3 linked regions of the Macaca mulatta genome follow. The protein of the gene in region 1 binds, or shares a complex with, the protein of each later gene. Links are inferred from orthologs where the notes say so. Each region holds a gene or a part of one and is shown in the gene's direction. Other genes may lie near its edges.

Region 1 (10,943 bases):
TGTCTCCCCAGAATCTGGCAGCAGAAAAGACTTACAACAACCTAGATGTATCTGTGACTAAAGCCCTGCAACATCGATCACATTACTTTGAGGGTGTTCTCAAGTGCTACCTGCATGAGACTCTGGAGACCATCATCAACAGGCTAGTGGAAGCAGAGGTAGGGAGGCCAGCAACCCTAAAGGAGCTGAGGGGAGCAACCTTGAGAGTGGGGTTTGGCAAGGAGAGTAGGGGCAGAGCTAAACATTCCAGCATTCCAGTGCTGAGGCCAGCACTAAACATTCCCTTTTTCCCTTGTTGTTCTGTGCCAGGTTCACCGACTTGTAGTGGTGGATGAAAATGATGTGGTCAAGGGAATTGTATCACTGTCTGACATCCTGCAGGCCCTGGTGCTCACAGGTGGAGAGAAGAAGCCCTGAGCTGGGGGAAGGGGTCAGGCAGCACCAGGGGATATGCCCAACTCACTGCCTGCTGGAAGCTCTGTGGGAATCAGATGAAACTTGGGGGAATTGTGACTCTGTTCCCTGCTCAGGGCCCCCTGCCCTTCTATCTGGGAGCTAGGGAAGGTATAGGGGGAGGAAGGAGAATGGATTTATAGCTACCCTTACCCTCACACATACACTTGAAAAAACTTTCAGCCTAGCCAATTCTAGCCCCTGTCTTCTTAGACATAGCCCCCTTTCTGGGTGAACTATAGGCTCTGTGCCTCTCAGACAAATCCTGATCTCTAAGAGATCCCCAGACCTCACTTGCCTCTGCCTCCATCTCAGCCCTGATTCAACCCTAAGATAACAGCACAACAAAATTCTTCATAAAGATATTTTTATTCACCTGTTCCATGCTATATGGAGGAGGCTAAGTCCATTTAGTGACATTTCTTCCCATAATGTGAGTGGGGAGGATTGTGGGGAGGAGGGGCTTTGGGTTCCTGTGTTTGTGCATATGAAGGGAGATGGGGGTTAGGTGGAGGAGGAGGGCAGCGTGATTAGCTAAGGTTATTGCTTTTTGTGGCAAATCTAATTAAATGACAGCTATCTCTTCATGGTATTGCAGTGTTTGATTTTTACAGTTGATGGATACTACTGTCCTACTTTATATGGCTTCTTCAACTGGTCATTAATAATAACGTGTGTACACACACACACACACGTACACACACAAAACTGTGTGCCAGACATCATTCTCAGTGCTTTACATATATTAACTAATCCTCAGAACAATAGTAGACACTATTCCAGTTTTTTACAGATTTTAAAAAATGGAGGCACAGAGAGGCTGGGTAACTAACCCAAGACCACACAGCTAGTAAAAAAAAAAATGGAGCTAGGATTTGAACCCAAACAGTCTTTACTGCTACAGTAGACTTCCGACTTCTAATTCTTTCACAACTACTCCTTACCCTGTGGTTCCTCCTTTCTATCTCACTTTCCCCTCTGCCTGAATCATGGCTGGTACCCAAGGAAAATCCTGTAACAGTGTTAGTGTCTACTCCCAAGAGTAGACAGACTTGAGGGTCTCCTTTGGGCAGAGAATCCTGCCACCATTATCAGCTTTTCTTAAGGAAGGTTGGACTGTTTGGCTTTTGCTGAGTTGGCACTATTTTTTTTTTTTTTTTTTTTTGAGATGGAATCTCGCTCTGTTGCCCAGGTTGGAGTGCAGTGGCGCAGTCTCAGCTCACTGCAACCTCTGCCTCCTAGGTTCAAGCGATTCTCCTGCCTCAGCCTCCTGAGTAGCTGGGATTACAGGCGCGCACCACCACACCTGGCTAATTTTTGTATTTTTTAGTAAAGACAGAGTTTCACCCATATTGGCCAGGCTGGTCGCAAACTCCTGACTTTGTGATCCACCTACCACAGCCTCCCAAAGTGCTGGGATTATAGGCATGAGCCACCGTACCCCGTTGGCACTATCTTTAAACCTGCAAATCCCTTGCCTTTCTTCCAAGGTGAGACAGAGCTGGATGGTGGGAGAACAGCAGGGCACTGGTCACTCCATCAGATCCATTCCCTGTACTGAAACCATGTAGACCCAAACAGCAGTCAGCACCCAACACCAGAACTGCTAGACTGGAGTATGAGCTAAATTTGGGTGCCAGCTAACCCCTGCCTTACAGGTATGATACAGTTTCCTATCCAAACCAGGAGCAATTTCAGAGTCATTGCTTGCCCCTTCCCCCACAGTGCTGCTAACCCCTTCCCTGACAGTGCCTAACCCCTCTGATGACCCTCCAGCCACGGCATACTGGGTTCTCCAAACTAGGCTTCCCGATGGAACACAGGGAAAAGCATCAAGGCCCTCATCAGATTCGACCTGAGGAAGCTTATTTTAAAAAAAGAAGGTGGCCCTCATCAGAGCTCTGCTTTCAGTGTTGCATCATGACTGTAGAGGAGCCCCTGCTTCAGCCTTCACCCCTTTACAGCTCTCACAGCACATTCTCAAACTTGGGGGAGGAAGGCTTCCAAGTTATTAGAATTAGAGTATGTTTATGTGTGGGGAGGGTAAGTACATGGTGGAAAGGACAGATGGCCTCTTATGTCACATTCCCTCATTAAGGAAGATTTGCCTAGGGAGGAGGCAGGGGCTTTAAAAAGCCTCAGGATTCTAGTGGGACCTAGGGTGGAAGGAAGCACCTTCGAGTCAAGTCATCGGTGCAGCTGGCAGGTGTGTGGAATCAAGGGGGGTAGGGTGGATGGGACAGGGAATGTTTGCATTCTCTCTAAAGGTTTGTGTTAGGGAGCAGAGGCCTGGTTTTGTTGAGCTGTTAGTCAGTCAGTCTCTGCCCCACGACAACCTTTCTGGTTGTTCCCCATCCCCTTAAAAGGAAGGGTCTGGACCCAAAGGGCTCCATGTACATTAGTGGAAAACTAATTGGGAACTCTTGCTTCTCTGATTTGCCCCTAAAACCCAACCTATCAGTCTCAGTGTGAGGATGAAGCTGAGGGAGAGACAAGGGATAAAATTTGGGAGACTCACAAGCTTCTATTCTTACCTATTCCTCTCCAGAGGCAAATTATCCCTTCTTCCCGAGGAACCATTGCCACACACACACTCTCTTTCCCCTCTCTGCACCCCTCCCCTCCACTGAGGCTGCTGCCATGGTTGCCAGGCATGGTTGCTAAGTCTCTGCATGGAAGGGTTGGCGTGGGCTGTGCTGCCACTAACATTACCATGGTGAATCAGGGGACACCTGGTATAAGCTTAGGAGGAGGGATCATGTGGATGTAAGCAACAGCCCCCCAGGACAGAGGCAGCCCAAAGGTGAGCATCTGGAGCACCACTTCAGGTGGGGGCTGAGTGAACTAGGCAATTGTTGTGGTGAGGGGGAGCTCTACATTGGGGAAAAAAAAAAAAAAGGCCACTTTTATCATTTCAGTTGCTAGGGGATTAGTTTTGCCAAGCAAACACACCATCTCTCCTCCATCCCCCTCTGGAAGGGTGAGAGTGCATAAGCACTTACTCTGTCCTCCATAAAGCTGGGCAGGCTGTGTGGGCACAGAACAATATAACCCCCAAATCCTGCTTCTAAATTGGAGGTGAAAGCCTGCTGCTGTGGGAGGGCTCCCTGGCTGCCCAAGGACAAACGTAGAATGGGACTGGTAGGGCAGCTTGGGTGGCCAAGGCACACGCCTGTGTCCTGCTGTACCAGCAATCCTAGGCTGCAGCACTGAGCTGGCGAGGAGATACGGGTGTAGGGGTCACCCTTTTTGAGCTTAGGGAAGGCAGCTCTCCCTCAGAGTCGCACAAAGCTTGGTGAAAGCCACCGCCTCCTCTCTCCACCGCATGGGAGCTGGTTACTCATCTCATCTCTGCACCCGAACAGCCACTGCCGCTAAAAATAGCCCCCCAGCCGTGGGCCAGCCCCTCCTGCACCCCAACCCCATGGAAACCAGCAGAGTGGCAGGCAGAGACCTTGAGTTCCATTCTCACGCACTCTATGTTGGGGAAACTGAAATCTGAGGCAGGAAGCCAGGGGCAGAACCCTGGTGGTCAGGCAACCTGACAAGCAGGAGAGTAAAGGGTTAAAACGGCAGGAAGGTTGAAGAAACAGGGACGGGGGAGGGGGCACTGTCAGCTTGGCAAGAATCATAAGTCCCTCCCCCGCCCACTCGTGCGATCCCATCAGGCTTGGGGGACAACAGCAGTGGGAAGGGGCGTCCAATCCCGGGCCCCAGGGGGCGGCCGTGCACATGGGGGAGGTAGCAGCGCGGAGCAGTCCGCGCGGTGTCACATGCGCGCGCACACACAGAGACAGGCACACACACGTGTGCCCGGGTATATATAGTTCCCAGTCCCCGGGCCCGCGGCTCTGCAGTGGGCGCCGGCTCCCTGGGCTGGGAGGGGGCTCCTGGGGCGGGTGGGAGGGTGGGGGGCCGGGGTGGGGTGGGGCAGGATGCTGGATGGCCCACTGTTCTCCGAGGGGCCTGACAGCCCCCGGGAGCTCCAGGATGAGGAGTCTGGCAGCTGCCTCTGGGTGCAGAAGTCCAAGCTATTGGTGATAGAAGTGAAGACTATTTCCTGTCATTATAGTCGCCGCGCCCCTTCTCGACAGCCCATGGACTTCCAGGCCAGCCACTGGGCTCGCGGGTTCCAGAACCGCACGTGAGTGAAGCAGGGGTGAGGGGAAGAGAGTGGTGGGGCGGGGAGTGGGGTCCGGACCACCCCGCAGGCACCAGCGAGCACTACTGATCCCCCTTCTCTTTCCCACGCCTCCCACCCCTGCCCGCTCCCGAAGGCTGGGGCCTGACTCATCCGGTTGTTTGGGGGAACAGGAGTGGGTGTGAGAAAGGGCAGGAGGTGAGATGGGGCAGACGCTGTTAAAGTGTGCAGGCAGAGATGGCGAGGAGTCCCGCTTCGACTTCAGTCCTAACATATACGCACGTGCACACGCGCACACACTCACACACACCCCTTCACATGGCTGCCCCAAGTGGTCTCCACTGCTCCCAGCTCCCCGGACCTCGGCTCCCTTCCCCCACAGACTGCTCACCTGGGTTCCTGCTCATTGTCCCAGGTGTGGGCCGCGCCCGGGATCCCCACAGCCGCCGCCCCGCCGGCCCTGGGCCTCCAGGGTGCTGCAGGAGGCGACCAACTGGCGGGCGGGGCCCCTGGCCGAGGTCCGAGCTCGGGAGCAAGAGAAAAGGAAAGCGGCGTCGCAGGAGCGGGAGGCCAAGGAGACCGAGCGAAAAAGGCGCAAGGCTGGTGGGGCCCGACGAAGCCCCCCGGGTCGGCCCCGCCCGGAGCCCCGCAACGCCCCTCGGGCAGCCCAGCCGGCAGGGCTCCCTGCTACCTTGCGGCCGGAGCGCCTGGCGCTGGTGGGGCGAGCGCCCCGTCCATCCGCGCAGCCGCAGAGCGACCCAGGGTCGGCGTGGGCGGGGCCCTGGGGAGGTCGGCGGCCGGGGCCCCCAAGCTACGAGGCTCACCTGCTGCTGAGAGGTTCTGCCGGGACCGCCCCGCGACGCCGCTGGGACCGGCCGCCACCCTACGTGGCTCCACCTTCTTACGAAGGCCCCCATAGGACCTTGGGGACTAAGAGAGGCCCCGGACACTCCCAGGTGCCCACTTCATCAGCCCCACCTCCGACTCCGGCCAGGACAGAGGGAGGGCGCACAAAGAAGAGGCTGGATCCTCGGATCTACCGGGACGTCCTCGGGGCTTGGGGTCTCCGACAGGGGCAAGGTCTCTTGGGGGGATCCCCAGGCTGTGGAGCGGCCAGAGCAAGGCCAGAGCCCGGCAAGGGGGTCGTGGAGAAAAGCCTGGGGCTGGCTGCTGCTGACTTGAACAGTGGTAGCGACAGCCATCCCCAAGCCAAAGCTACAGGGAGCGCAGGCACCGAGACAACTCCTGCGGGGTCTGCAACTGCGGCTCCCAGTGCCCCGCGTCCCGCTCCCAGATCCAGGCACCACCTCAAGGGCTCGAGGGAAGGGAAAGAAGGAAAAGAACAGATCTGGTTCCCTAAATGCTGGATTCCCTCCCCTAAAAAGCAGCCGCCCCGCCATAGCCAGACACTCCCCAGACCCTGGGCTCCCGGAGGCACCGGATGGAGAGAATCCCTGGGTCTTGCAGAGGGGGCAGGACCGGAGACCCTGGAGGGTTGGAAGGCGACCCGCCGTGCCCACACCTTGCCCCGCAGTTCCCAGGGCCCGTCCCGTGGGGAAGGAGTCTTTGTCATTGACGCCACGTGCGTGGTGATACGATCCCAATATGTTCCAACCCCCCGAACCCAGCAGGTGCAGCTTTTGCCCTCTGGGGTGACACGCGTGGTGGGGGAATCCGCCAGCCAATCGAAGCCCGGCAAGGAGGAGAGTGAAGGGGCCACGGTCTTTCCTTCCCCTTGCCGAAAGCGGCTGTCGAACAGTCGCCTTTTACACCAGCCCGGCGGGGGCCGCGGGGGCGAAGCTGAGGGCGGGAGGTCGGGGCACTCCTCACTGGAGGAGCGCACCTCCCGCATCTTGGGGCTCCCGGCCCCGGAAGTAAACCTGCGGGACGCCCCCACGCAGCCAGGTAGCCCAGAGCACCAAGCCTTAGGCCCAGGAGCTTCGGGAGCCCAGGGCAGGGCCGAGGGCTCGGAAGTGGCGGTGGTCCAGCGGCGCGCGGGCCGGGGCTGGGCGCGGACCCCAGGGCCCTACGCCGGGGCCCTGCGAGAAGCCGTGTCCCGTATCCGCCGCCACACCGCCCCTGACTCGGACACGGACGAAGCTGAGGAGCTTAGCGTCCATAGCGGCTCCTCTGATGGAAGCGACACAGAAGCCCCAGGCGCCTCCTGGCGGAATGAGAGGACCCTGCCCGGGGTTGGAAACAGTTCGCCGGAGGAAGATGGGAAGACAGCGGAACTGAGCGACAGTGTCGGAGAGATCCTAGATGTCATAAGCCAAACCGAGGAGGTCCTCTTCGGGGTGAGGGACATCAGGGGGACTCAACAGGGAAATAGGAAGAGGCAGTGAGAGGCCCCTTCTTGTATTTGAGTCCCCAACACATCCATCCTTGGGTCCACTGGTCCCCATTCTTCCCCAGACTTCCTTTGCTTCTCTTTTCCTTGTATCCTTACCCATACCTATTCCCATCCTTGAAATATAAATGAAAGGAAGGGAAGCATATGCCCATTAATGATTTTGTTTCAGGAGAGGTGAGAATCAGCAGTAGATTTAATTAATGTCTGTTATGTTCAGGACACAAGGGTGAGCTCTTCGCAGCTGATGCACTGGGTGCGGAGCTGAGCAGAGAGGCCTAACAAGGATCAGGCAGGAGGGCAGGGGTGGTGGCAGCTATAGGAGGGCAGTGTAGGGCAGGGCCTCTGAGGAGGAGGGAAAAAGTGAAGGAGAGGCTTTGGACCCGGTGGCAGAGTGACCAGATGACAGAGGGGTTCTTGGCAGAAGAGGAATAGGTCCAGCAACAACCAGCAAAGCAGAAGGAGGGCTCACCTTGGTGTCACAAGTCTTGGATTTCAATCCCAACTCTGCCACTGACTTGCTGGTTGACTGAGGCCTGTCACTTTCCCTCTCCAGGCCTCCTGGTATATAAAACAATGGTATTCTAAGGTCCATCCTTCCATCTCTGACATTTTGAGATCTTTGGAAAGGACTCTATCTCATCCTCCCCTCGACAAGCCAAGAATGAGAGTTGGGAATAAGTGAACAGAGTTTGAGGGTTTCTGGGCGGCCTCCTTGTCACCTGAAGTCATGATCAATTCAGGAGACTGCCCAAGGTTTGCAGAAGAGGTAAGGGAGTGAGGCACTCCTATCCCAGTCTCCCAGGTTTAGGTGAGGGCTCCCCAAAGCAGGGCAAGATAGTGGCCCTGTCACTGACCCTGGCCTGTGGTGGTCTGAGCTGGGGAGGGAAGGACACCAATGAATCAGCTTGGGACCTCTTTAGGCCTTCCCCTTTTCCTCCACCCTAATGCTCCTTAGTGATGCTCTGAGGCGTGGCCACGATTTCCCTCCCAGGTGGTATCGCCCACCTGAAAAAATCCTGAGAATGTCTCCCATCTCGGCCTCTTCCGAAGAAACTGGCCACGCAAGGAAAGAGGCCGGTCCCCAGAAGCCAGTGGGCGTGGGGTGTGATACTCTCTATAGCCACTACAGGGCGCGCGCAGGTCGCGGATCTCCCCAGTTGCTAATTCCGGCTCTGCCACTCAATCCGATCCCTAGTTCCCAAGCGCGGGTCCCCAGCCTTGCAGTCTCCAGCCGTGCTGGGCCGGGAGCAGGCCTCCGGCCTCCCAGACCTCTGGAGCCCGCCGGTCCCATCTTTGTACTCATCCACCCCAGCCGGCTTGGGACTCAGACACCGAAGTCTTTTTTTTTCTCTCCGATCCTTGGACACCTCTGTCTGCCATTTATTAGCCATGTGAACTTGGCCGCATCACTTCACCTCCCTGAGCCTCAGTTTCCTCATCTGTCAAATGGGGGTTTATAAACACCTACCTCGCAGGGTTGTTGTGAGGACTTAATGCGATAATGTATGTAAAGCGCCTTGCACACCGCCTGGCACACAGTAGGCGCTCAATAAATCTAAGCTTCCCTTTATCCAGCCTTGGCATGGTCTTCCTTTCACTGACCTTTTCCCCATGGTGGCCATCCCCCAGGACTCCTCTGCTATGTCCTGCTCTGTGTGAGGGAGAGGGGGCTGCTTTCTTCGTTGGGAGTTCCTGGCCCACCTCTTTTCTCCCCCAGCCAGGACTCTCCCTTCCTTGCCCCCAGCCCACCCCTGTTGGCACTTCCCACTGCCCTGCGCCCTCCCCCGGCCCCCCATTCCGAGCAAGGGCTGAGTCAGCCGGGATAAATTTAGCTGCCGGCTCCGCGGGCCCGGGGGCTTCTCCCAGACTCAGTCGCCGGGTCCTGCCCCGGCCCCCGGCCCACCTCTGCTCCCACTCCAACCCAGACCTGCCAACTCCAACTCCCGCTCAGCGTTCAGGTCCCCAACCCCGCTCTCAAACCACTTATGGTTTTAGTCTCCAATTATCTCAACATCACTCCCGCCTGCAACCAGGGGTACTCTGAGCAGAACTCGGAGTGGCACAGGACCACCTGGGGTGGGGGGTGGCCACCATCTGGCAGGAGCTGGGCCGCTGGCCTTGGTTCAGTGGAGGAAGGTCTCCTCTTTGGGTTTCTGAACCGGAGGGAAGACACTGGTCAGAGCTATCCAGGAAGATTCATCCCAGAGCCTTCCTGGAACCCACACTACCAGGTTTCAAATTAGCTCTTGCTGGAGGAGTGTCACCTTGGGCAGAGATCAAAGGTTACTGAGATCTGCCCTTGAGGTCAGGAATTCCAGACCAGCCTCCAATATGGTGAAACTCCGTCTCTACCAAATATACAAAAATTAGCCAGGTGTGGTGGCACGCACCTGTAATTCTAGCCACTCAGGAGGCTAAGGCACGAGAATCGCTGAATCACTTGAACCTGGGAGGAGGAGGTTGCAATCAGCCAAGATTGGGCCTCTGCACTCCGGCCTGGGCAACACAGCCAGACCACATCTCAAAAAAACAAACAAACAAAGGTTATTGAGATCCGTCTCCCTTTCACCTACAATTCTATCTACTCAAAAAAACAAACAACGGTTATTGAGATCTGTCTTCCTTTCACTTACAATTCTATCTACCTACTACCAATTCTAACTACTGAGCATGTACTGAGCACCTACTGGAAACAAGAAACTGTGCGGGAGTCCAGGATAGGGATGAGTAAGGCCTTTCTGACAATGGGGTGAAGGTGAGCAATGTGTCAAGTATTACAATGAGTCAAACAAGGGAGACTGTATGGATTTTGTGAGATAAGGGAAGGCTCCATGGAGGAGATGACCTCAGCGTTAGAATTTGGTGAAGAGGTATTTCAAGTAGAGGGATCAGCCAAAATAGAGGCATGGATGCAGGTAAGCAGGGTATGTTTAGGAAACTGCTCAATGGTCTGATTTGCCTGCAGCTGCGAGTACATTAATGGCAGTTGTGGAAGATAAGGCAAGAGTGAAAACTGAGGCCAGACTGGGGTAAGCCTGGTCCAGCTGAGGAGTAATGTGCCTTGGGCCTCCAGGCTTGGGAAGAGGCTGGACTTCGGGGGAGGAGGAAAGTTGAGGAAGGGCGGTGTGTGGTGGCTCACACCTGTAATCCCAGCACTTTCGGAGGCTAAGATGAACAGATCACCTGAGACCAGGACCAGCCTGGCCAACATGGTCCAACCCTACCTCTATGAAAAATACAAAAATTAGCTGGGTATAGTAGTGCATGCCTGTGATCCCAGCTATGGGGGAGGTTGAGGCACAAGAATCACTTGAACCTGGGAAGCGAAGGTTGCAGCAAGCCGAGATTGCACCACTGCACTCTAGCCTGGGTGACAGAGTAAGACTCTGTCTTAAAAAACAATAACACACACAAAAAAGAAAAACAACAACAACAACAACAACAAAAACAGAACCAAAAAAAAAAAAAAAAAAAAAGAAAGTTGAGAAAGACCAGGGCAGTGATGAAAGCATCTGCCTAGATTTTTCTACAACCAAAGGGCTCTAGGGCTCTGGGACTGGAAGAGGAGGTGAGCTGTATGCAACCTTGGAAGGGCTGACCCTATGAAGGTGGGCTTTACCATGCTGCCTGAGCCCCTTTGAGGATGAACACACAGGAAGCAAGTTTCTGAAATCTCACCCACACTGCTAACATAGTCGAACGACTTGACTAATGTGTTTAGAATGTGGTTTCTGGAGCTTCTACCCCATACTAGCTATGTGACCTTGGGCAAGTTACTCAACCTCTCTGTGCCTTGGTGTCCTCAGTTATAAACTGAGGTTGTTAAAAGTGCTTTTCATTAGCTGCGTGTGGTGGCACTTTCCTGTAGTCCCAGCTGTTCAGGAGGCTGAGGTGGGAGAATTGCTTGAGCCCAGGGGTTTGAGGATGCAGTGAGCTATGATTGCACCACTGCACTCCAGCCTGGGCAACAGAGCAAGACTCTGTCTCTAAAAATAA
Region 2 (9,303 bases), on another chromosome or scaffold:
TTTACTTCTTCAAGGCCAGCAGAAGAGCCCGGCCAGGAAAAGCCCAGGCCGTCTTTTAGGGGCTTACCTGATTAAGTCAGGACCACCTGGAATAATCTTCCTTTTGATTAACTCAAAGTCAACTGATTAGTGGGAGTGATAGTTCATATTCACAGGTCGCATTGGAATTGAAGGAGAGGAGATTATACAGGGCATGTATATTAGGAATGGGATTTGAGAAACCATTTTAGAATTCTGACTCCCATAGTCATGAATTACTGTTTTTTAATCATTAGTGATTTGTGATGGGAGGAGAGTTAATGGTCGAATTAATCAGGGTCTTTTACGTATAGATAACTGAAGAAACTAACTCAAATACAGCTTAAAAATGAAAGAGGGAATTGTTGTCTAATTTAATGAAGAAATCCAGGATGTTGAACTACCTTCAGGCATGACTTGATCCAAAGTTTGAAATGATGTCATCAGGCCTCAGCCCCCTTCTCATGGCGTTGCTCCCTCTGTACAGCTTAATTCTCAAACAGGTCACCCCACAAGTAAAGATGATCATGATTAGTCCCAGGTTTATATCTTGAAGGCTTAGCAACATCGGTGTAAAGACACTGCCTCTTTTCCAAGCAGTTCAGCAAAGTGCCAGAATGGAGTATTAATGGCTGGGCTTTCATAACATACTCACCTCTGAACCTGTCACTGAGATTCAGATTGGCCAGGTTCAGGTCACATTCCTATCCCTGATGCCCCACACAAAGCAGGTGGATTGAGTGCAGAGGAGGAGATCGCCAAGGGAAGGTGAGGGCATTGTTACTCTAAGGCTGGGGAAACAAATGCTGGACAAGCAGAAACAATAGGGGCCCATTACAGGAACACAAAATCAAGAAGACATGACTTCTGCCCTTAAGCGGGAACAGACCTGTATTGGGGAAACAACTTCAGAACAGTACAGTGACAGGAATCAATAACTGAGAACGTACATATGGAGGGTGCTGAGAGTACTGAAGCTGGCACAGTGTACAGAGAGGGCGGGTGGGGACTGCAGCCAGCTCCCTGAGGTGGAACTTCAACTTTACCACACATGCCCGCCCTATGGGACTTAACCTCTGCAAGCCTCCTCGGTGCAGATAACCCTCAGGACCTCCTAGGTTTGTGAAAATGAAACGAGGTTATGGAAATGAAGTGCTTAGTACCATTCCTGGGACATAATAAATGCCCAGTAAACATGAGCTGAATGGGAGAATTCACAACAGGCTTCCCAGGGAAGGGGAAGCCCCATTCGAAAGGAGTGGATGCCTACAGGTAAACAAAGAGAGGGTATTTGAGGGTCAGAGGAAGGGGCTGGGTGGGCTCACTGGGCAGAGCTCTAATAACAAGAGAAGCCATCCCCACCCCCACAGCCTTCCTCGGTCAAGTCCCTGCGCTCCGAGCGTCTGATCCGCACCTCGCTGGACCTGGAGTTAGACCTGCAGGCGACAAGAACCTGGCACAGCCAACTGACCCAGGAGATCTCGGTGCTGAAGGAGCTCAAGGAGCAGCTGGAACAAGCTAAGAGCCACGGGGAGAAGGAGCTGCCGCAGTGGTTGCGTGAGGACGAGCGTTTCCGCCTGCTGCTGAGGATGCTGGAGAAGCGGGTGAGTGCAGCCTCGAAGGCAGGGGAGCCCTGCGCTCTGCCCCAAAGAGTCAGGGGCCACTGCCCCAGGGAAGAGAGGCCAGAGCTCATGATGCATCCTACAATTCCCACCACAGCTTCCACTGAGGGTGTTCCACCCATCACTCGTTCCCATCAGCAGAGGGATCCAGGAATCCCTTTGCCTACTCGACGTTATGAACCTTTCACCTGGCTGCAAGGCCCATTTACTGCACTTGTTGATGTGTTTTTGTATGCAAGCCCTTACTGTTCACACATGTACTCATCATGCAGCTCTTCATGAAATACATTGGGGACCCAATCTGTGCCACAGCACACACTTTAACAGAGTAACAATAGGACACTGACCTGCCTCGGTGCCTGCCCAGGAAATCCCACAGGGCAGCCCTTGCCAAAGGAGGAGAAGGGCTGGTCACACCAGGGCCTTCTGCTAACAAGCGTGCCCTGGAGTACAAGTCTGCTGGCACCTCTGCCCTGCTATAATAAGTTTAAGGGATTTAGGGGTTGATCAAGGAGAAAAATATAACCTCAAAATGGTGTTAGCACACAAGTTTTATATTAGCTGTGCTTTTTTTTTTTTTTTTTTTTTTTTGGAAGACATGTTTTCTCTCTGTCGCCCAGGCTGGAGGGTGGTGGCATGATGGCTCACTGCAACCTCTATCTCCCAGGCTCTATCGATCCTCCCACCTTAGCCTCCTGAGTAACTGGGATGACAGGTGCATACCAATATGCCCGGCTAATTTTTGTATTTTCTGTAGAGATGGGGTTTCACCACGTTGCCCAGGCTGGTCTCGAACTCCTGGGCTCAATCAACCCACCTCGGCCTCCCAAAGTGCTGGGATTACAGGCGTGAGCCGGCGTGCCTGGCTTGGGCTACACTTTGACAGGTTTGCATGCCGGGGAAGCCCCTCACAGCATGAGACCTTCCAAAGGTGCTGGGGGCTACTGCCCGGTGTGGAGGAAGGCAAGGGAACTCCCAGGGGAGAGCTGGGGAAGAGGGGCCATCTAGGTTAGGTAGCTCTGCAGGACGATGGGGAGTCTCTGGGTCAGGGAACTCCAAAGCACAGCAGCAGCTCGGGGTCTCTTACAGGCCCAGGCTTTATCTATGGCTAGCAAATGTTGGGTACAATTTCACAGGGTATGCAAAACTGGAAGGTTGTATATTTAAAAGTTGCTTATTTGAGCTATATTTAAAACAACTGGAAGGGTAAAAATTTGAGTGTGGCACTAGCAGGCTTTTAAGGTCCCAACAGGTCCCGCACTGCCATGAAGAAACAATGTAGGGCCAGTATCCAAGGGCCATTCTCTACCCCTTTATGAAAAATAACACCTGCCACTCTGTGATCACCACCCACGGCAAGAAAGACCTTTGCTAGTTCTCTCTGCACACAGCCAGACTCGCTGAGAGTACCTTACAGAGGGTGCCTACCTGAACCGTCAGGACCATCAGCTGAAATCTCAGTGCTCAGGGCAGGTGGTGATGCCCTACGGCAGGAAGATGATGCTGGACTTCTTAGGCCTGGACTGATGTGGGAGCTTCAGACTGACTCTGGCAGCTCTGAAGTTCCAGAAAAGTTTATTTCTTTCTTATTTATACCCTGTTTACTTATAAACAGGATTATAACAAGAGCATTGAGGGGAAAATAGAAAATTGGAAGGCTTGATGGAGGAGAGGAAATAAATATATCCCAAACCTAAAGTAACCTAATAATAGTTAGTTATTATATTGATCTTTGAGCTTCCTGGTAGCCAAGGCAAAAAGAGATCAGAAAACAAGTGCCTATGTGCCCTACCTTAACACTTGATCTTAGTCAAAAGACTGAGAAGTAATACGTGCCCTGACTTAAGAAAAACAAACTGAGAAAACTTGACCTTTCAAATAGTTAAAAAAAAAAAAAAAAGGTAACATCTATGACTTCTAACAAAGAACCATTGAAATGATGGCTTTATTTACCAAAATTCTGTCTTTGTGCAATGTTTTCAAGTATATGGTACATGGCTATTTTAGGGCTGTCTGTGGTTTGTTCTCAAAAGTGTTTGTATACATTTACATTAGGAGGAAGGGACATAGTGTTATACCCAAGCCTCTTAAGAACTACTGCATGGCTTGGGACTGGGTTTCTACCACTTCTTAGTAGTCTGACATTAAAGAAATTTCTTTTTTTTTTTTTTTTTTTTTTGAGACGGATTCTGGCTCTGTCGTCCAGGCTGGAGTGCAGTGGCCGGATCTCAGCTCACTGCAACCTCCGCCTCCCGGGTTTACGCCATTCTCCTGCCTCAGCCTCCCCAGTAGCTGGGACTACAGGCGCCCGCCACCTCACCCGGCTAGTTTTTGTATTTTTAGTAGAGACGGGGTTTCACCGTGTTAGCCAGGATGGTCTCGATCTCCTGACCTCGTGATTCGCCCGTCTCGGCCTCCCAAAGTGCTGGGATTACAGGCTTGAGCCACCGCGCCCGGCCTAAAGAAATTTCTTACTATGCTGGAGCCTCAGTTCCCTGGGTAAAATAGAGGTAATAATGTCTACCTTCCTGAGTGGCCTGAGGATTAGAGGTAGTACACATTTCACCAGGCAGCCCTCATCTCCTCAATTCCTCAGATCCACACAGGTATTCTGTTTCCTGGCCCCAAAAATCTACTCACTCAAACAGATGATTTGAGCACTTCCCATTATGGTTCTGAAAGAAGTGGATCCCACGGGGAGCAGGAGTGAGGGTGCCATCCCTACAGGAGCCCCCTCTATTGTGATAGGGAGTTCTCCTTGCCCCTTTCTGGAGGACCCCTCCACTGACTCAGGGCCCTGCTTGCTTTGCCCAGCAGATGGACCAAGCAGAGCACAAGGGTGAGCTTCAGACAGACAAGATGATGAGGGCAGCTGCCAAGGATGTGCACAGGCTCCGAGGCCAGAGCTGTAAGGAGCCCCCAGAAGTGCAGTCTTTCAGGTAAGCAGAGGGCCCCGACAGCCCCCTCTCCCTTTCTCAGCCAACCCATGGCCTTAGTCTTCTGTCTGTGGTCTTACTGCTCCCATCCCTTGCTCACAGAGCACTGGCTTTCTCTGTAACAGATGTTCATCCTCCGCCAAGCCATCCCTGGCGATCCATGAGCTCTGCAGCACTCTTCCCCCAGCTGTCTTTATCAGTCCCCACACAACTCGAGCTAATTTGTTAGATCCTCTTGTTTAATGAATAAGCCACCTGCTCCAGCCTTTCCTCGTAGTGTTTTCATCACTGGTAATTGTGGAGGGTTGGCTGAATGATAAATAAGCCTGTGGGTGATGGATGCTCGCTGGGCCTCCCTGGCTCTGCCTGCCACCTGCTAGGATCCCAGGGAGGTGCTTTCTTGCCATGCTGGACCCGGATGTATTCTCAGAGGGTCCCAAATGCCATTTGGCCTGGGCCTCCCATCCACGGAGGCCCTAGCATTTAGACTTCTGATGTCCTCTCAGATAAGGTACACATGTTGTGTATGTGCTAAAAAAAAATTCCTTTGTGGAATATAAACATTTAAAATGTACATTTGTACAACTATCTTTGGGCATCTCTTAACTTTTGAACAAATTGAGAATCTAAAACAAACAAACATTGGAAGTGGCCAAACTCTGAAAAGCCTCTGATTTGATTTGAACTAAAGGTCATTGTTCATGCTAATGGTCTTTAAAGCAGTGGTTCTCAACCAGGCGTGATTTCTCCCCTTGCCCCTGGAACATTTGGCAATGAGCATGCATTTTGGGTTGTCGTAACTGGAGGTCAAGGATACGGCCAGCGTCTAGAGGGTAGAGGCCAAGGATGTTGCTAAACATTCTACAGTGAATGTATAGGACAGCCCCCATGACAAAGAATTATCCTGCCCAGAATCTCAGCAGAGTAAGGTTGAAAACCCCTGCTCCTGCTCTAAAGGGATGGTCTCTCTTATAGGGAGAAGATGGCATTTTTCACCCGGCCTCGGATGAATATCCCAGCTCTCTCTGCAGATGATGTCTAATCGCCAGAAAAGTATTTCTTTTGTTCCACTGACCAGGCTGTGAACATTGACTGTGGCTAAAGTTATTTATGTGGTGTTATATGAAGGTACTGAGTCACAAGTCCTCTAGTGCTCTTGTTGGTTTGAAGATGAACTGATTTTTTAGTTTGGGTCCTACTGTTGTTATTAAAAACAGAACAAAAACAAAACACACACACACAAAAAAAAACAGAAACAAAAAAAAAAACCAGCATTAAAATAATAAGATTGTATAGTTTGTATATTTAGGAGTGTATTTTTGGGAAAGAAAATTTAAATGAACTAAAGCAGTATTGAGTTGCTGCTCTTCTTAAAATCGTTTAGATTTTTTTCAGTTTGTACAGCTCCACCTTTTAGAGGTCTTACTGCAATAAGAAGTAATGCCTGGGGGACGGTAATCCTAATAGGACGTCCCGCACTTGTCACAGTACAGCTAACTTTTCCTAGTTAACATATTTTGTACAATATTAAAAAAATGCACAGAATCCATTGTTGGGGGGAGGGATTCAGAGGTGCATCCATGGATCTTCTTGAGCTGTGACGTGTTTTTATGTGGCTGCCCAACGTGGAGCGGGCGGTGTGATAGACTGGGCGGGCTAAGCAGCCCAGTCTATGTGGGTAACAGGCCACGCTGGTCTCAGATGCCCAGTGAAGCCACTAACATGAGTGAGGGGAGGGCTGTGGGGAGCTCCATTAAGTTTTATCTCCATCAATAAAGTGGCCTTTCAAAAAGAATCTTCCTCTTGCTCTCTTTTTCTTTCCTACCCCTCACTTCATCTGTTTCCCTGATTTTTGAGTCTCCCCTTTCCAGTCATTTCTTTCCCACCCATCCTGAGTCCTGGAAACGTTTATTTTTTTCTTTTGCCCACTGTTTTCATTTGCTCATTAAATTAAAATGACGGCTCGGCTCATTGGGAATCCACATGCCCAAGTTAGATTGGGGATATGCTCTCTGTACTGTCTCCTTCTATGGAATTCCACCCCACCCAATGAGAGCTGACTTCACCATTTCTTCATATGAGCATCATTCTGTGTCATCCCCAACCCAGGGGTAGTAGATGCTACAGCTTGTGCTTCATGCTGCTCCTGTGGCCCCTATCCCTACCAGGGTCTATTGCAGACAATCAGAAGTCAGCTTCTAACAAATAGCAACAACCACAAATCTCTTCCTCCTTTCTCTCTGACATTACCCTGTGCAACTTTTCTCAAAGTCTGTTGCACCACCCAGCAAAGCATGTTGCACCAGCTGTATCAGAATCACCTGGGGCAGCCTATTAAATATACGGACTATTGAGACCATCCTGGCTAACACAGTGAGACCCTGTCTCTACTAAAAATACAAAAAATTAGCTGGGCGTGGTAGTGGGCACCTGTAGGCCCAGCTCCTCGGGAGGCTGAGGCAGAATGACGTGAACCCCGGAGGTGGAGCTTGCAGTGAGCCAACATTGCGCCACTGCACTCCAGCCTGGGCGACAGAGCGAGACTCTCAAAAATAAAAAAGAAAAAAAAGGGCGTGCCCAAGATGGCCGAATAGGAACAGCTCCAGGCTCCAGCTCCCAGTGTGAGCGACACAGAAGACGGGTGATTTCTGCATTTTCAACTGAGATACTGGGTTCATCTCACTGGGGCGTGTCGGACAGTTGACGCTGGTCCGTGGGTGCAGCCCGACCAGCAAGAGCAGAAGCAGGGCAAGGCATTGCCTCACCTGGGAAGCTCAAGAGGGAAGGGAATTCCTTTTCCTAGCCAAAGGAAATTGAGACACACAACACCTGGAAAATTGGGTAACTCCCACCCTAATACTGCGCTTTGCCAAGGGTAGCAAATGGCACACCAAGAGATTATATCCCACACCTGGCCCAGAGGGTCCCATGCCCACGGAGCCTCCCTCATTGCTAGCACAGCAGTCTGAGATCTAACTGCAAGGTGGCAGCGAGGCTGGGGGAGGGGCATCTGCCATTGCTGAGGCTTAAGTAGGTAAACAAAGCCGCTGGGAAGCTTGAATTGGGTGCAGGCCACCACAGCTCAAGGAGGCCAGTCTGCCACTGTAGACTCCTCCTCTGGGGACAGGGCATAGCTAAACAAAAAGCAGCAGAAACCTCAGCAGAGGTAAATGCCCCTGTCTGACAGCTTTGAAGAGAGCAGTGGATCTCCTAGCACAGAGGTTGAGATCTGAGAACGGACAGACTGCCTGCTCAAGTGGGTCCCTGACCCCTGAGTAGCCTAACTTGGGAGACATCCCCCACTAGGTGCAGACCGACACCTCACACCTCACACAGTGGGGTACACCCACAGCAACACTCGCTGTTCAGCAATATTCTATCTTCTGCAGCCTCCGCTGCTGATACCCAGGAAAACAGCGTCTGGAGTGGACCTTAAGCAAACTCCAACAGACCTACAGCTGAGGGTCTTGACTGTTAGATGGAAAACTAACAAACAGAAAGGACACCCACACCAAAACCCCATCAGTACGTCCCCATCATCAAAGACCAAAGGCAGAGAAAACCACAAAGATGGGGAAAAAGAATGCAGAAAAGCTGGAAATTCAAAAAATCAGAGTGCATCTCCCCCTCCAAAGGAACACAGCTCATCACCAGCAACGGAACAAAGCTGGACAGAGAATGACTTTGACGAGTTGAGAGAAGAAGGCTTCGATCAATCAAACTTCTCAGAGCTAAAGGAGGAACTACGTAACCAGCGCAAAGAAACTAAAAACCTTGAAAAAAGAATGGATGAATGGATAACTAGAATAATCAATGCAGAGAAGACCTTAAAAGAACTGATAGAGACGAGGCCGGGCGCGGTGGCTCAAGCCTGTAATCCCAGCACTCTGGGAGGCCGAGACGGGCGGATCATGAGGTCAGGAGATCGAGACCATCCTGGCTAACACGGTGAAACCCCGTCTCTACTAAAAAGTACAAAAAAAAACTAGCCGGGCGAGGTGGCGGGCGCCTGTAGTCCCAGCTACTCGGGAGGCTGAGGCAGGAGAATGGCGTAAACCCAGGAGGCAGAGCTTGCAGTGAGCTGAGATCCGGCCACTGCACTCCAGCCTGGGCGACAGAGCGAGACTCTGTCTCAAAAAAAAAAAAAAAAGAACTGATAGAGATGAAAACCATAACACAAGAACTACATGACAAATGCACAAGCTTCAGTAACTGACTCGATCAACTAGAAGAAAGAGTATCAGCGATTGAAGATCAAATGAATGAAATGAAGCAAGAAGAGAAGTGTAGAGAAAAAAGCGTAAAAAGAAATGAACAAAGCCTCCAAGAAATATGGGATTATGTGAAAAGACCAAATCTACGTTTGATTGGTGTGCCTGAAAGTGACGGGGAAAATGGAACCAAGTTGGAAAACACTCTGCAGGATATCATCCAGGAGAACTCCCCCAACCTAGTAAGGCAGGCCAACATTCAAATTCAGGAAATACAGAGAACGCCACAAAGATACTCCTCGAGAAGAGCAACTCCAAGACACATAATTGTCAGATTCACCAAAGTTGAAATGAAGGAAAAAATGTTAAAGGGCAGCCAGAGAGAAAGGTCGGGTTACACACAAAGGGAAGCCCATCAGACTAACAGCAGATATCTCGGCAGAAATTCTCCAAGCCAGAAGAGAGTGGGGGCCAATATTCAACATTCTTAAAGAAAAGAATTTTAAACCCAGAATT
Region 3 (10,973 bases), on another chromosome or scaffold:
TGCAGAGCTGTCCCCAGCTCTTGAAGACACTGGTTTCTTAACCTCAGTTTCATGGATAAGTATATTTTGTCTTTTCTTCATTGATATGTGCTCTCCTGCATTCTGTTATTGTAAGACATTACTATGAGTGTAAAGAGATAATCGTTTAATACTATCAGTAAGAATTCATATATATATTTTTATAGAAAGAAAATATGTGTATATATATATATATATATATTCTTTCTTTTTTTTTTCTTTTTTTTTTCTTTTTTTTAGACAGAGTCTCCCTTTGTCACCAGGCTGGATTGCAGTGGTGAGATCTCAGCTGACCACAACCTCTGCCTCCCAGGTTCAAGCGATTCTCCTGCCTTAACCAAGAATTCATATTAAAGCAGTGGTCATTTAATGAAATTTTGGACACCCTCACTTTAGACACATCTGCTATCAGGCAAAATTCTACTGAGCTTTTACACTGTGTCAGACAATGTGCCAGACACTAAGAATGCAAATAAAACATAGAACCTGGAAAGTTGTGTTTCTGCAAAGGATACATGGAGACATAAATAAAAGCTGTGTTGGTAACAGAAATGAGAATCATAAAATGCTTCCAAGAAAGAAAGTGGGCCCAGAGGTATTTCTTTGAGGGTGAGCAGGCAGGGAAAGGGTTGCATTTCGGGCAAACACAAACCATGAAATGGCCTAGTGAGCCAAGGAAAGTAAGGCGTTCAGCTTTGGAAGAAGTAAAGGGTTGAAAGGAGAAGTGAAGACACAGGCCTGAGCCTTAGGTAGGACACCTGGGTCAGCTGTCCCAGTCCCCAGACATGGTGGGAGATTGGCTCAAGCCACTGTACCTTACTGTCCTTATCTGAACATAATTACATTTCAATGTTGAAATTCCTGTTTTAATTATATTCCAAGGAACCTAGAATAGATGGCATAAAGGGGCCTCCTTTCATTTGTGTTAATCTTGGAGAACCCACATTAGCTTTGTTGCCCTGGATTCCAGTCTCAGAGTACATGCAGAAATATGGCTGAACAGTTAAAAAGTGTGGGAAGGAGGATCCAAGGAGGATAAGGAGTTTGGACTTTGCTGTGTATTTATTGGGCGGCACTGGGCGGTTTTAAACACAGAAAAAAGGAGAGGTTTCAGAAAGGTCTCTTGCATCACAATAGAGATTTTTGAGATAAAAGGGAGAAAGAAAAACAAACACAATAATCGTGGAGTACTGATATTGACAGACTGGACTCAGAAACAGTGTGGATAAGACACTGTATGCCCTACAGTACTGTAGTCAGCAAAATAATGGTCCCTCTAAAAAAGGTACCACAACTCTACCTCCTATTGGTAGTGTGATTTGCGGCAATTTAAAAGCCCTGATCCTCAGTTTCCTCATCTGTAAAAGAAAAAAAAAAAAAAAAAAAAGAAACAAAGAAAGAATAGCAATGTCTTAAGTCAGGATCGCCAGGATCAAACTCTGAGATGAAGATTGTTTCTGCAAGTGATTTATTATAGAAATGCTATCGGGAAAAACTAATCATGTACCACAGTAAGCAAGATAGGGAAGGAGGTTTCAGGCAAAATCCTAACATCAATATAATTCTACAGGGGAGTCTCAGAGTGTAAATTACACCTCAGGTTTTCTTGCTACTAGAGGCAAGAGGGCTGGTCTTTTATACTCTATAGGAAAGTCCTTGGCAAAGGGCATCTTGGGAAAGAAGTAAACTTGCAGGTGGTTTTGTCTGGCTCTCTGAGTCAGTAGACAAAGTGGGTCTAGTAGTGTTTGGGCATTCCTCCAAAGAGAGTCTCGGGGAAGCCTGCAAGAAGCAAAAGAATGCAGAAGCTAGAGGAAGGATACTCAGTTCAACCAAAGGGATCCTAGGAGATTTGGGTGGAGACCATGTCTGCCACAAGCATCTATCCCATAGAACTCTTCTAAGAACTGAATGCATTCATATCTTTCTTTCTTTGGCTTTTAGGATTCCTAAACTATTTTTCTTCTGGAATAGTATGCAATATTTAGCGTTCTGCTCTACACTTGGAGTGCTTAGTGATGAAATAATTTTTTCTTGACATAGCATAAAATCCAAAAAGGGTAAATAAAGTGAATGTGAGGAATACCAAAATAGAGAGAAAAAATATAGTCTGATCCCAATTTCTGACTCCAAGGATAGTGCTTTCCTCAGGGTTCAACTTTTATCAATCAAGATCCAGTCAAAGCGTGTTAACTATTAGGAGAGGGAAAAAGCCCACTAAAGAACACAGCAATAGTGATTGTTGGGAATAGTCACTATCTGTCAGGCTACAGGAGAGTACCCAAAGAGAGAATAACTAAGAAGAACTTCCCCCTACCCACCCGCCACCCTACTAAGCCTGAGAGTAGGACCTCATTGGAAATAATATGGCTGTGGTCCACTTAATGATCCAGAAATTTAAGGTGTCACACACTGGGCTGCTGAGGAAACCATCAGCTGTGTTTTCAGTAAAACTTGCTAGGAAGCCATTCCACTGACATGCCAGCAGCACTCCATAGAAAGACACACACTAGGGAACTGGCCAAATTTACTGAAGATTATGTAACATGGCCTTCCTGCACACCACTGGTCAGAAAGTCACTCACTGGCCACCACACCGTAGGAGCAAGCAGGAAAGCACTGGAACCAAGAAAAGGAGCCCCTTTCTTTCTGCAGTGTTTCCTTAGCACCTTCTATTGACAAACCTAAACATTGTGCCAACTGACCATAAAGACGTTTACAGATTTCAACTCTAATGTCACAATTTAGGGCAAAGAAGGGTGGCTGTGAAGTTGAAGAGTGCTAAATTAACTGGCACACACCCCAGTGACACTTCTGGGATTTGGGGGATGGGAGAAGCATGCTGTTATGCCCAAATCCTGCTCCATTTGTTTACTTTTTTCCTAATTGCCCCCTGAAAGAAAGTGCAGGCCCAATCTTTTGGGACACTACATACTGAGAGCTGGTATGACACATGGTAAGTGAACAGAGAGTTCAATTCAGTAACTGAGACAAAGTCTAGAGCTGAACCACTTGGGTCTGAATGTTACCTTCACCATTAACTAGATTTGTAGCCTTGCAAAAGTTCATCCTTGTATACCTCAGTTTCCTTACCTGTAAAAGGAGATAACAGTACCTACTTTATCAAAATGTCAGGAGAAATGAAGTATTATGTGTAAAGCCTATAGAACAACATCTAGCATGTAGTTAGAACCTAATAAATATTAGTATCTTCCATGAATGGTAGCTTGCCATTTGGTTTTACAATATAAATATTCGGTTCTCATAATGAGTTTCTATTTAGAACTATGCCTCATAATGCTAACACTCAACTTCTCTGGGTGAGATTAGGCTTTGCTATCAAGTCTTGCCTACTCCTGGGCATTGCTTGCAGATCTGGCTTCAGATCCTGGCACTGCCCCTGGCTTACTGAATAAGCTTCACTAGTGCAGCCAACTTATGGAGGATCTGTTTTCTCAAGTGAAAAAAGACACAAGGTTAAACAAATCATCTTTAAGATCTCTTCCAGTTCTGACTACATTTGATCCCCCTCATCCCCAAGTAGTAAGTTATACCTGAGGGAAAGAGGAAGGGAATTATCATTTCGGACGCCTACTCACCTGTGCCAGGAGAGCACTGCTGTGCCTGCTTTCCCTGATTTCATTCTCATCACAGTCTTAACAGATTAGTATTTTTAAAGTCCATTTAACAACTAAGAAAGCTGAGGCTCAGGAAAGTCAGTTTACTCAAGATCACATTCTCAGTAAGCAGTAGAGTTTGGATTGAAACCTGGTGTTTCTGTTTGTGTCGACTCAACATTTTTAACTGTACTGTTTGCCTCCGACATCACCTTCATCTCAGACATTAAGAATCCTACCTGTTCAGTGCTTTTCATCCTCTGCCTTAAAGAGATAAGTGGGTGTGCAACTTTTTTTTTGTCTGAAACATATCATTTAAAAGTTAAGCAAATGAAATTCATTTACCAGTTACAGGAATTAAAAAAAAAAATCACTGTTAATGTCTCACAGAAAATAGCTCTCCTGTGGAAATCAGCAGCCTCCCTGCATCCTTTTTTGCCCCTATCCTCCCCTCTCCTGGATGCAAACCTGGCGAAAAGAAGGGAACACTGGTTGGGGTCAGCGAGCTGAGTTCCAGCTCCGACTGTGCCATTTTCACTCTCGGGAGCCTTCTCCCCTTTCTCTGTGACTAAAGGAGTGTTGGGCCAGATCGTCTTAAGGTTTCTTCCCCAGGTACAAGCCGACTCTGGTGGCTTTCATGGGCAGGGGAGCGCCTCTGCCTTCTCTCGGCCGCAGGTCCCTAGTTAAATTGTCCATTTTCTCTGCGGAGGCTGCTCATTGCATCCGTTACCTCCACCCCTAGCCCTGTAGACCCTTTCTGTTTCCCCTGCTTGGGAAAAGCGAAGCCCCTTACCCTTGGATAGCCTTTCACTAGACTACCGCAACCCTCCGCGAAATTCCCCTACTGGCGGGACGCGCGGGAGGGGGCCTGCCCGGGGGAACGCGAGGCTGCTTCCCCTCTGCGCAATCAGGGTACGCAGCCTCCAGTTCTCTAACTTTCTCCTTCTCTAAGAGGGAATTTCGAGAACTTTGAGACAAATAAGTGACTGTATAGAGGAAGACATGAAACCTCTCTACACAGTGAACTCCCCCAGGCCACAAGTCTCCCAGGGCTCCCAGGCCTTCTCCCGCAATGCCCCGCCGGGTCCCCCGCCCCAGTTCCTTCTCACGGCAGGATCCCGCGCCAGGAGGCTCGCAGAGCCCAAGATGTGGCACCAGGAGCGCCAAAGTCCAGGTCCCGCTAGTTCTGCTCCATAGGAGCCCAGGTCGGAGGAAGTCAGCGCGTCCTCCTCGCACAGCAGCCTGGCGCGCGGCTCGGCGGCACAGAGGCTGAAGAAAGGTCCGCACTGGCTCGAGGCCCTTCCTGCCGGCCTCCCCACGCCGGGCCTCGGCTCCCCTCCTTCCCGGCTCCCGCCTCCTCCCGTAGGCTGCCAGGCGGACCCAGCCTGCCTCTCTCTCTGCCTTCACTACCGGGTCAAGCTGCGGAGGGAGGGAGGGAGGCAGCGGCGAAGCCCTCCCTGGCTCCCCACCCGGCGCGCGCGCCCCTCCTCCCCTGCCTCCTCCCCTATGCCAGTACAGTACAACTAGTACACACACACGCACACGCACCCTGCCACTGCAGCTGCCATGGATATCAGCTAACAACACACACCCAGGCGCGCGCGCGCGTTCCCACTCGCACCACGCAGGAGTGGCCCCCGGCATCCCTACCCTCCTTCCCCACCCCCACCGCACCCGCTCACCAGCTCGGTTACTGCTAGCTCCCGCTGCCGCCGCCGCCGCCGCCGACGCCACCACCACCGCTTCCTCTGCTGCGGGGCCACAGCCTTGAGTGTCATTCAAGGGACAGCACAACCTCACCCAAGCTCTCCTACCTCTGCCCAGCCGTCCCTCTCATCCTCCCCCTTCCTCGTCCACACTCCATCCAAAGAAGAGGGAAAGCACCGAATAGAGGGGGGAGAAGGCAAAGTCTGCTGTTCTTCCCCCTGGGCCCCCTTGCTCCTCCATCCTCATTCTCTCACCACCAACCCCCCTAACCCCAAGGAGCCCCAGGAACTGAGGCGACTCACCCCACTGCCATGTCCAAAAGCTTGAAAAAGAAAAGCCACTGGACTAGCAAAGTCCATGAGAGTGTCATTGGCAGGAACCCGGAGGGCCAGCTGGGCTTTGAACTGAAGGGGGGCGCCGAGAATGGACAGTTCCCCTACCTGGGGGAGGTGAAGCCCGGAAAGGTGGCCTATGAGAGCGGCAGCAAGTTGGTGTCGGAGGAGCTGCTGCTGGAGGTGAACGAGACCCCCGTGGCGGGGCTCACCATCAGGGACGTGCTGGCCGTGATCAAACACTGCAAGGACCCCCTCCGGCTCAAGTGTGTCAAGCAAGGTGAGCGCAGCGGCTTGCTCAGTGTTTTGCCGGGCGGTGGGACCGCTCGGGGCGCAGGGCAATGAAAGGGTGGGCGCGCATGTTGAAAGGGGTGTGTTGCGCGATGATGGGGTAGGGGCCAGAGGGGACCCGCAGTGCAAATGAGTTTCGCCGGGGATTCCACTTGGGGGCTAAAGGGAGGGGAGGGGCAGGTTGCGGTGTGGCGTGCAACTTTGTTTGCTCAGTTAGACCCTCCCCTTTGGAAGGTGCTCGGCCTGGTCTGACCTCCTCAGAGATCCTGGGGCAAATTGAATGTGCGTCAGTGGCATCACCCTAAGTGGATGAAGAGCTTTTGGGGAATGAAGGAAGGAAAGAAAGAAACAAGGAAAGGGAGGAAGGGAGAGAAAGAAGGAAGGAGCAACTTTAGGGTGCAGCGGCATCACCAGCGGGTCTGGGAAGAGAGGGTGGTGGGGTGAGCGGAGAACTGCGTCCAGCGTTTCTGGGGCTGGGCTGGAGACGCCTGGGTTCCCAGCTGTCCCTTAGGGATCCGTGAGCCACTGCTGGCGAGGAAGGGAAGAGACAAATTGCTTTGGGCGATTTGACGGGTCTTCTGTAACTTTTCCCCTTCTTCGCTCCGCTGTCCCCCTCCCCCGCCCACGGTCTTGTCATGTGGGCATCGCGCGTCACGTGCGCACTGACTAACCCCTGCGCTCACCCCTAGCCAGCCCAGCGGAGGAGGCTCCGGAAGAAGGCGCGGTGCTAGGAGCGCGGTCTAGTGCTGGGCGGGGGTCGGAGGAGATGAATGGTTGTAGGCAGGACTTTACTCAGAGGTTGCCCTCATAGAGTGGAAGTTCTCTGTGGTTGGGCTCTCCTCTGGCTCCGATTTGGGGGGCGTGTTTTGGAGGAGGAGCTGGATGAAACCCTTGCTGGTTCCAGCCCAGGCTCCCTCAGCTCCAACCTGACTTTAAAGAACCTCGATTGGAGGCTGTGATGTAGATTTGGAGAGACTGGAATCATCCAGAACTCTCTGTCTTTGCTTGAAAGAAAATTATGGTGCAGAAGGAGAGAAGAGTGAGATAAAAGTTTGAATAGAGGACAACTTTAAGTAGAATAAAGTAGTAGCTTTTTTTTTTTTTTTTTTTTTTTTCCTCACTGCACAATTCATGTGCGGTATGTATGGATATTTGTGGCACAGGCATATCAGCCTAAGGGTTTGTTGTTGTTGTTGTCGTCGATGTTACACTGTTTGTCCTTACTCAAAGGTGGAATTGAGCATGTCATTACCTGCATTTTGCCACTTAATCGTGATCAACTACCAAGAAACGCTCTTACGGAGATGTACTGCACTGTAAAATTATTCTCTAAAAAACTTGTTTTAAAGTAAACAAGAGAAAAAGGAGTCTTGGACAAAATTTCTCAAATGTAAATTGCCATACAAGAAAATGTTTTTCTTGGGGATTCTTGAGTATTAAGAGTATTAATTAATTGAGATAGCTATTATAAGTCAACGTAGCTCCATACTATACAACACTGAAGGGATATGAGTTTGGTAGAAAAGAAAATAGAGTATCTTGATATTTTTGAAGATAAGATACCTAAGGTTCAAATACAAAGCTTCATGTTAACATGTTCGACGTGAAAATAATACCTTATAGGAATAGATATAAATGTTAAGATCTTTGGGTACAAAAAGTCCACTACGCAACTAATGAGCATCGTTTTGTTGGCCAAATGCTTGGTATTTGTCGTGGAACATGGCTGCAAAAGTTAAGTGTTATTAAATTGGACTTAATAGAGTCCTACAAAGGGATGCCCTATTATAGTTTGCAATGATCACCACATCTTAAATGTTGTGTTCAATTCTGAGCACGCCTGGTTGAGGAGGATGTTGGCAAACTCACATTAGCAAAGAGTAAATTCAAAAGAGAAAGAAAGATTATTGTGTATTATAGATGTATTCTATGAAACGCAGTGGACTTAACTTGGAGAAGTGAGAATAAAAGCTATCATTAAATAGCGAAAAGCTATCAGGTAAGAAAAGGAATTCTGACTATCCTGTGATAGCCCACAGGACAAAATGGTGATAAATCTATGAGAAATTTTAAAGGATGAAGCCGCTTTACTTTGATTAAATCATGAGCTTTCTAACAGAGTTTTCCAACAATTTGTGAGCACCCTGTGATGAAGTTCCCATCATTGTGGGTATCCATGAAGAAGCTGAAATGATCATATGCCACGGATTCCTATATAAGATGAGGACCTGGATTCGATATTATTTGAATCCTGCCATAATTCGATCTAATGTGGTCTGTGATCACTCTTGTATTGAATTTTATGTGGAAGATTATTGCTTTTAAAACTAGAATATATGCTTATAAAGTGATATATTGAGGAGAAACTCTCTTTTCATTCTATATTAACCCTATTTCGTGCTTCACTGGTTCATTGATGATAAATTTGTATAATGATATTCACAGAAACCCATAGGAACCCGATTCATCTCCTGAATCACTATTGACAAAAAACAAAACAAAAAAAAGTTCCTTTTACCTTGTGTGGACTAAGTAATTCTCTTGTACTTTCTTTTAAATATGATTCATATTGCTATTCTAATCTTTTCCTTGTTAAATCATAGATTAATTTTATTTATGATTATAAAATGAAAATTTCAGAAGCTTTACTATAGTGCCTGTGTGTCTTAGGTTTCAATACAGATGTCTTTTACTGGAAAATCATTTAGAAATTCTTGGCCCAGTAGTTATATTTTGAGAGAGGCAAAAAACTAGCATAGCTGAAAAACTTAACCATGTTTGTTTAGCAGTTGCATTTTTAAAACATTAATGAGATTGATTTTTGAATATTCATTCCAACATTGGGTATTATACAGAAACTACATGCATATCATAGTTTAAGGAAGATTTTATAAAGAAAAGATAATATTTGAATAATAAGAATATTGTTACTAAGTGCACCAGGTAAAATTGCATTATTTACTCAATTTTTATTCACTTGTTTGCCTAATTTTACATTACAGTTATCATAATTTTAATCTGTCATAATTTTAAAAGGAGGTGAGTTGTTGGGATTTTAAGACATATTACATAGTATATATATATATATCATAGTGTTTCTACACTGTTTAAATACCTGCAAAACAATTTTTAAAACTGTTTAATTAAATTCAAGGAATTCTCTTTTTAATTTAAGCTTTCTGCTTTTAATCCACACAGTAATAAACCACATATTAAAATATGGCTTATTGTCACACCCAATTACTTTTTATGAATGATGGCATTTTATTTATAATAATAAACTTTCTGCACCAAAGGATGTAATGCTAAATTAGCAGTAATTCTATGATCTCATTAATGCATCAGACCCAGTTGAAGAAAGTTTTTTGAGTGATGTTGAGATCTATATGGAAGTGCTAAAGGTCTTCTTTCCTTTTTCTTTTCCCTTTTTTAAGGTTTGCCACTAAAGTTCACAGCAGCCAGTTACACAGGCCTTTGTGTCCTACATTCCTTGCACTATGGCTGCTAATGCCTGTAATACCGCATAAAGACCTACATAACCTGGACTTATTTTCCCATTTAGGATCTCACAATGGGAAATAAAAGGCAAAAAAAAAAAAAAAAAAAAAAAAAAAAAAAAAAAAAAAATTCTAATTCTTCCCATGTGGAAGATGGGCCAAATAAATCCTTTGAAATTCAGTTTTAGAGAAGATCTACATTGCTCTCCCTCCTACTGCTCCTTTCAAAGATACCTTCAAAGGAAAGTAGATCCACATTTATTAAGAGTCATACTTTCTTCTTGACTGACTTCAGGCTAAAATAATAGAGTCAAATCTCTATACTTCTTTGTATTTGAAAAGGTAAAAACAAATTATGTCAAATTTTCTGTAAAGATTGACTTTTTTCCATAAAAATGTGAGATATATGAATAGTATTGTTTAATAAACAATAACATTGTTTAAACATTTTGATGAGTTTATTATTTTACAAATAAAGTACCATTAATGTTTTTAACAAGGTTAATGAGACAGTTCTCTTGGAGCATAATTTATAAGTGATATCAATGTAGTTTTTTGGTAGGTGTAGATAACTTAAATGGTATGACCTCAAATGTTAAATATGATTATTTGCTTTTTATCTGTACTATCTCTGTTCTTGACATTTGAACTGTTTAATCTTTTGGCACGTTTATTATGCTCACTTTCCTTTTCATTGCTTGTAACTCACAAATTCACTTTCATAATGAGAAAAGCATATTCACACTTGACATCTCTGATTGATTATAGTTTAAGTAATGATTTTCAAATATATAGCAGACCCTGGCAGAATCATTTTCCTCAGAAGGTGGGGTAGAGCAATGGTTAAAGGTACACTCTCCTAAGTAGACCACCTAGTTTTGATTCCTGAGTATGTCAGTTAGTGCTAGCTATATGAACAAGATAACTAACCTGGGGTAGTAATGGTACCTTAAGAATATTAGATAAGTTATGTATTTAAATCGTATAGTGTCTGGCAGGTGACAAGCATTATGTAGATTTTAGTAAATGCTATTGCAAACATATTGGTCATTTTGAGCTAGTGACATTATGAGGTGTTTTTAATTTTCAAGATATTTTACTCAATTCACATTAACTGAAAAATATGAAATGATTGACTAATACAGAGTAATTTGCAAGTTGTATTTTAAGGTTTTTATGCATAATGAAATAAATATTTTATTTGAAAAGAATTTATTTGAAGGATAATATCAATAAATACAATGGAACATATTTTCACCTTTTAAAAATAACTCCCACTGATCCTGCCTTTCCATGTAAACATCTGCTATTTTGTATTTATTTTATACTTTAGACATAGTTTATTTTTACATAGTAATTTATTTTCTTCATACCCCATGTGTTTACTCCCAAAGAATTGGTGAATATATTGAATTATTTACTCTAAACTTGACAACATAGAAATCCTATTAGAATTTATTAATTTAAGTTTAAGAGTTTATACTTCTTATATTAATACATCATTGTAGTTGAGA

The links.
Region 2: the proteins of DDN (region 1) and WWC1 are in contact, whole or in part, in a crystal structure (PDB 6J69), measured with the Mus musculus proteins. The link is inferred for Macaca mulatta from reciprocal best matches to the Homo sapiens genes DDN and WWC1. Residues at the interface, in NP_001013763.1 of Mus musculus: Tyr227, Val228, Ala229, Pro230, Pro231, Ser232, Tyr233, His237, Arg238, Thr239; in NP_740749.1 of Mus musculus: Glu13, Glu14, Ala15, Arg16, Asp17, Tyr23, Ile25, Asp26, His27, Arg30, Thr31, Thr32, Ser33, Trp34.
Region 3: the proteins of DDN (region 1) and MAGI2 are in contact, whole or in part, in a crystal structure (PDB 6KKG), measured with the Mus musculus proteins. The link is inferred for Macaca mulatta from reciprocal best matches to the Homo sapiens genes DDN and MAGI2. Residues at the interface, in NP_001013763.1 of Mus musculus: Asp222, Arg223, Pro224, Pro225, Pro226, Tyr227, Val228, Ala229, Pro230, Pro231, Ser232, Tyr233, His237, Arg238, Thr239, Leu240, Gly241; in NP_001164217.1 of Mus musculus: Glu308, Met309, Ala310, Tyr311, Thr312, Glu313, Gly315, Tyr318, Ile320, Asp321, His322, Lys325, Thr326, Thr327, Ser328, Trp329, Asp358, Tyr361, Tyr364, Val366, Asp367, His368, Arg371, Arg372, Thr373, Gln374, Phe375.

Annotation. Positions count from the first base shown.
Region 1 is NC_133416.1:56,158,609-56,169,551, reverse strand, and holds DDN (dendrin), read left to right. Parts: upstream 1-4,300; 5' UTR 4,301-4,343; exon of another isoform or gene 4,344-4,388; coding exon of another isoform or gene 4,389-4,597; intron 4,598-4,722; 5' UTR 4,723-4,797; coding exon 4,798-6,939; 3' UTR 6,940-8,517; downstream 8,518-10,943. Other genes in the region: PRKAG1 (5'-AMP-activated protein kinase subunit gamma-1), read left to right, coding at 12-158, 310-417. UniProt on the Homo sapiens protein: Promotes apoptosis of kidney glomerular podocytes. Podocytes are highly specialized cells essential to the ultrafiltration of blood, resulting in the extraction of urine and the retention of protein.
Region 2 is NC_133411.1:177,310,960-177,320,262, forward strand, and holds the end of WWC1 (protein KIBRA), read left to right. Parts: intron 1-1,370; coding exon 1,371-1,622; intron 1,623-4,454; coding exon 4,455-4,579; intron 4,580-5,551; coding exon 5,552-5,618; 3' UTR 5,619-6,371; downstream 6,372-9,303. UniProt on the Homo sapiens protein: Regulator of the Hippo signaling pathway, also known as the Salvador-Warts-Hippo (SWH) pathway.
Region 3 is NC_133408.1:140,029,683-140,040,655, forward strand, and holds the start of MAGI2 (membrane-associated guanylate kinase, WW and PDZ domain-containing protein 2), read left to right. Parts: upstream 1-5,160; 5' UTR 5,161-5,314; coding exon of another isoform or gene 5,315-5,410; 5' UTR 5,411-5,650; coding exon 5,651-5,951; intron 5,952-10,973. Other genes in the region: uncharacterized protein LOC106997532, read right to left, coding at 5,315-5,410. UniProt on the Homo sapiens protein: Seems to act as a scaffold molecule at synaptic junctions by assembling neurotransmitter receptors and cell adhesion proteins. Plays a role in nerve growth factor (NGF)-induced recruitment of RAPGEF2 to late endosomes and neurite outgrowth.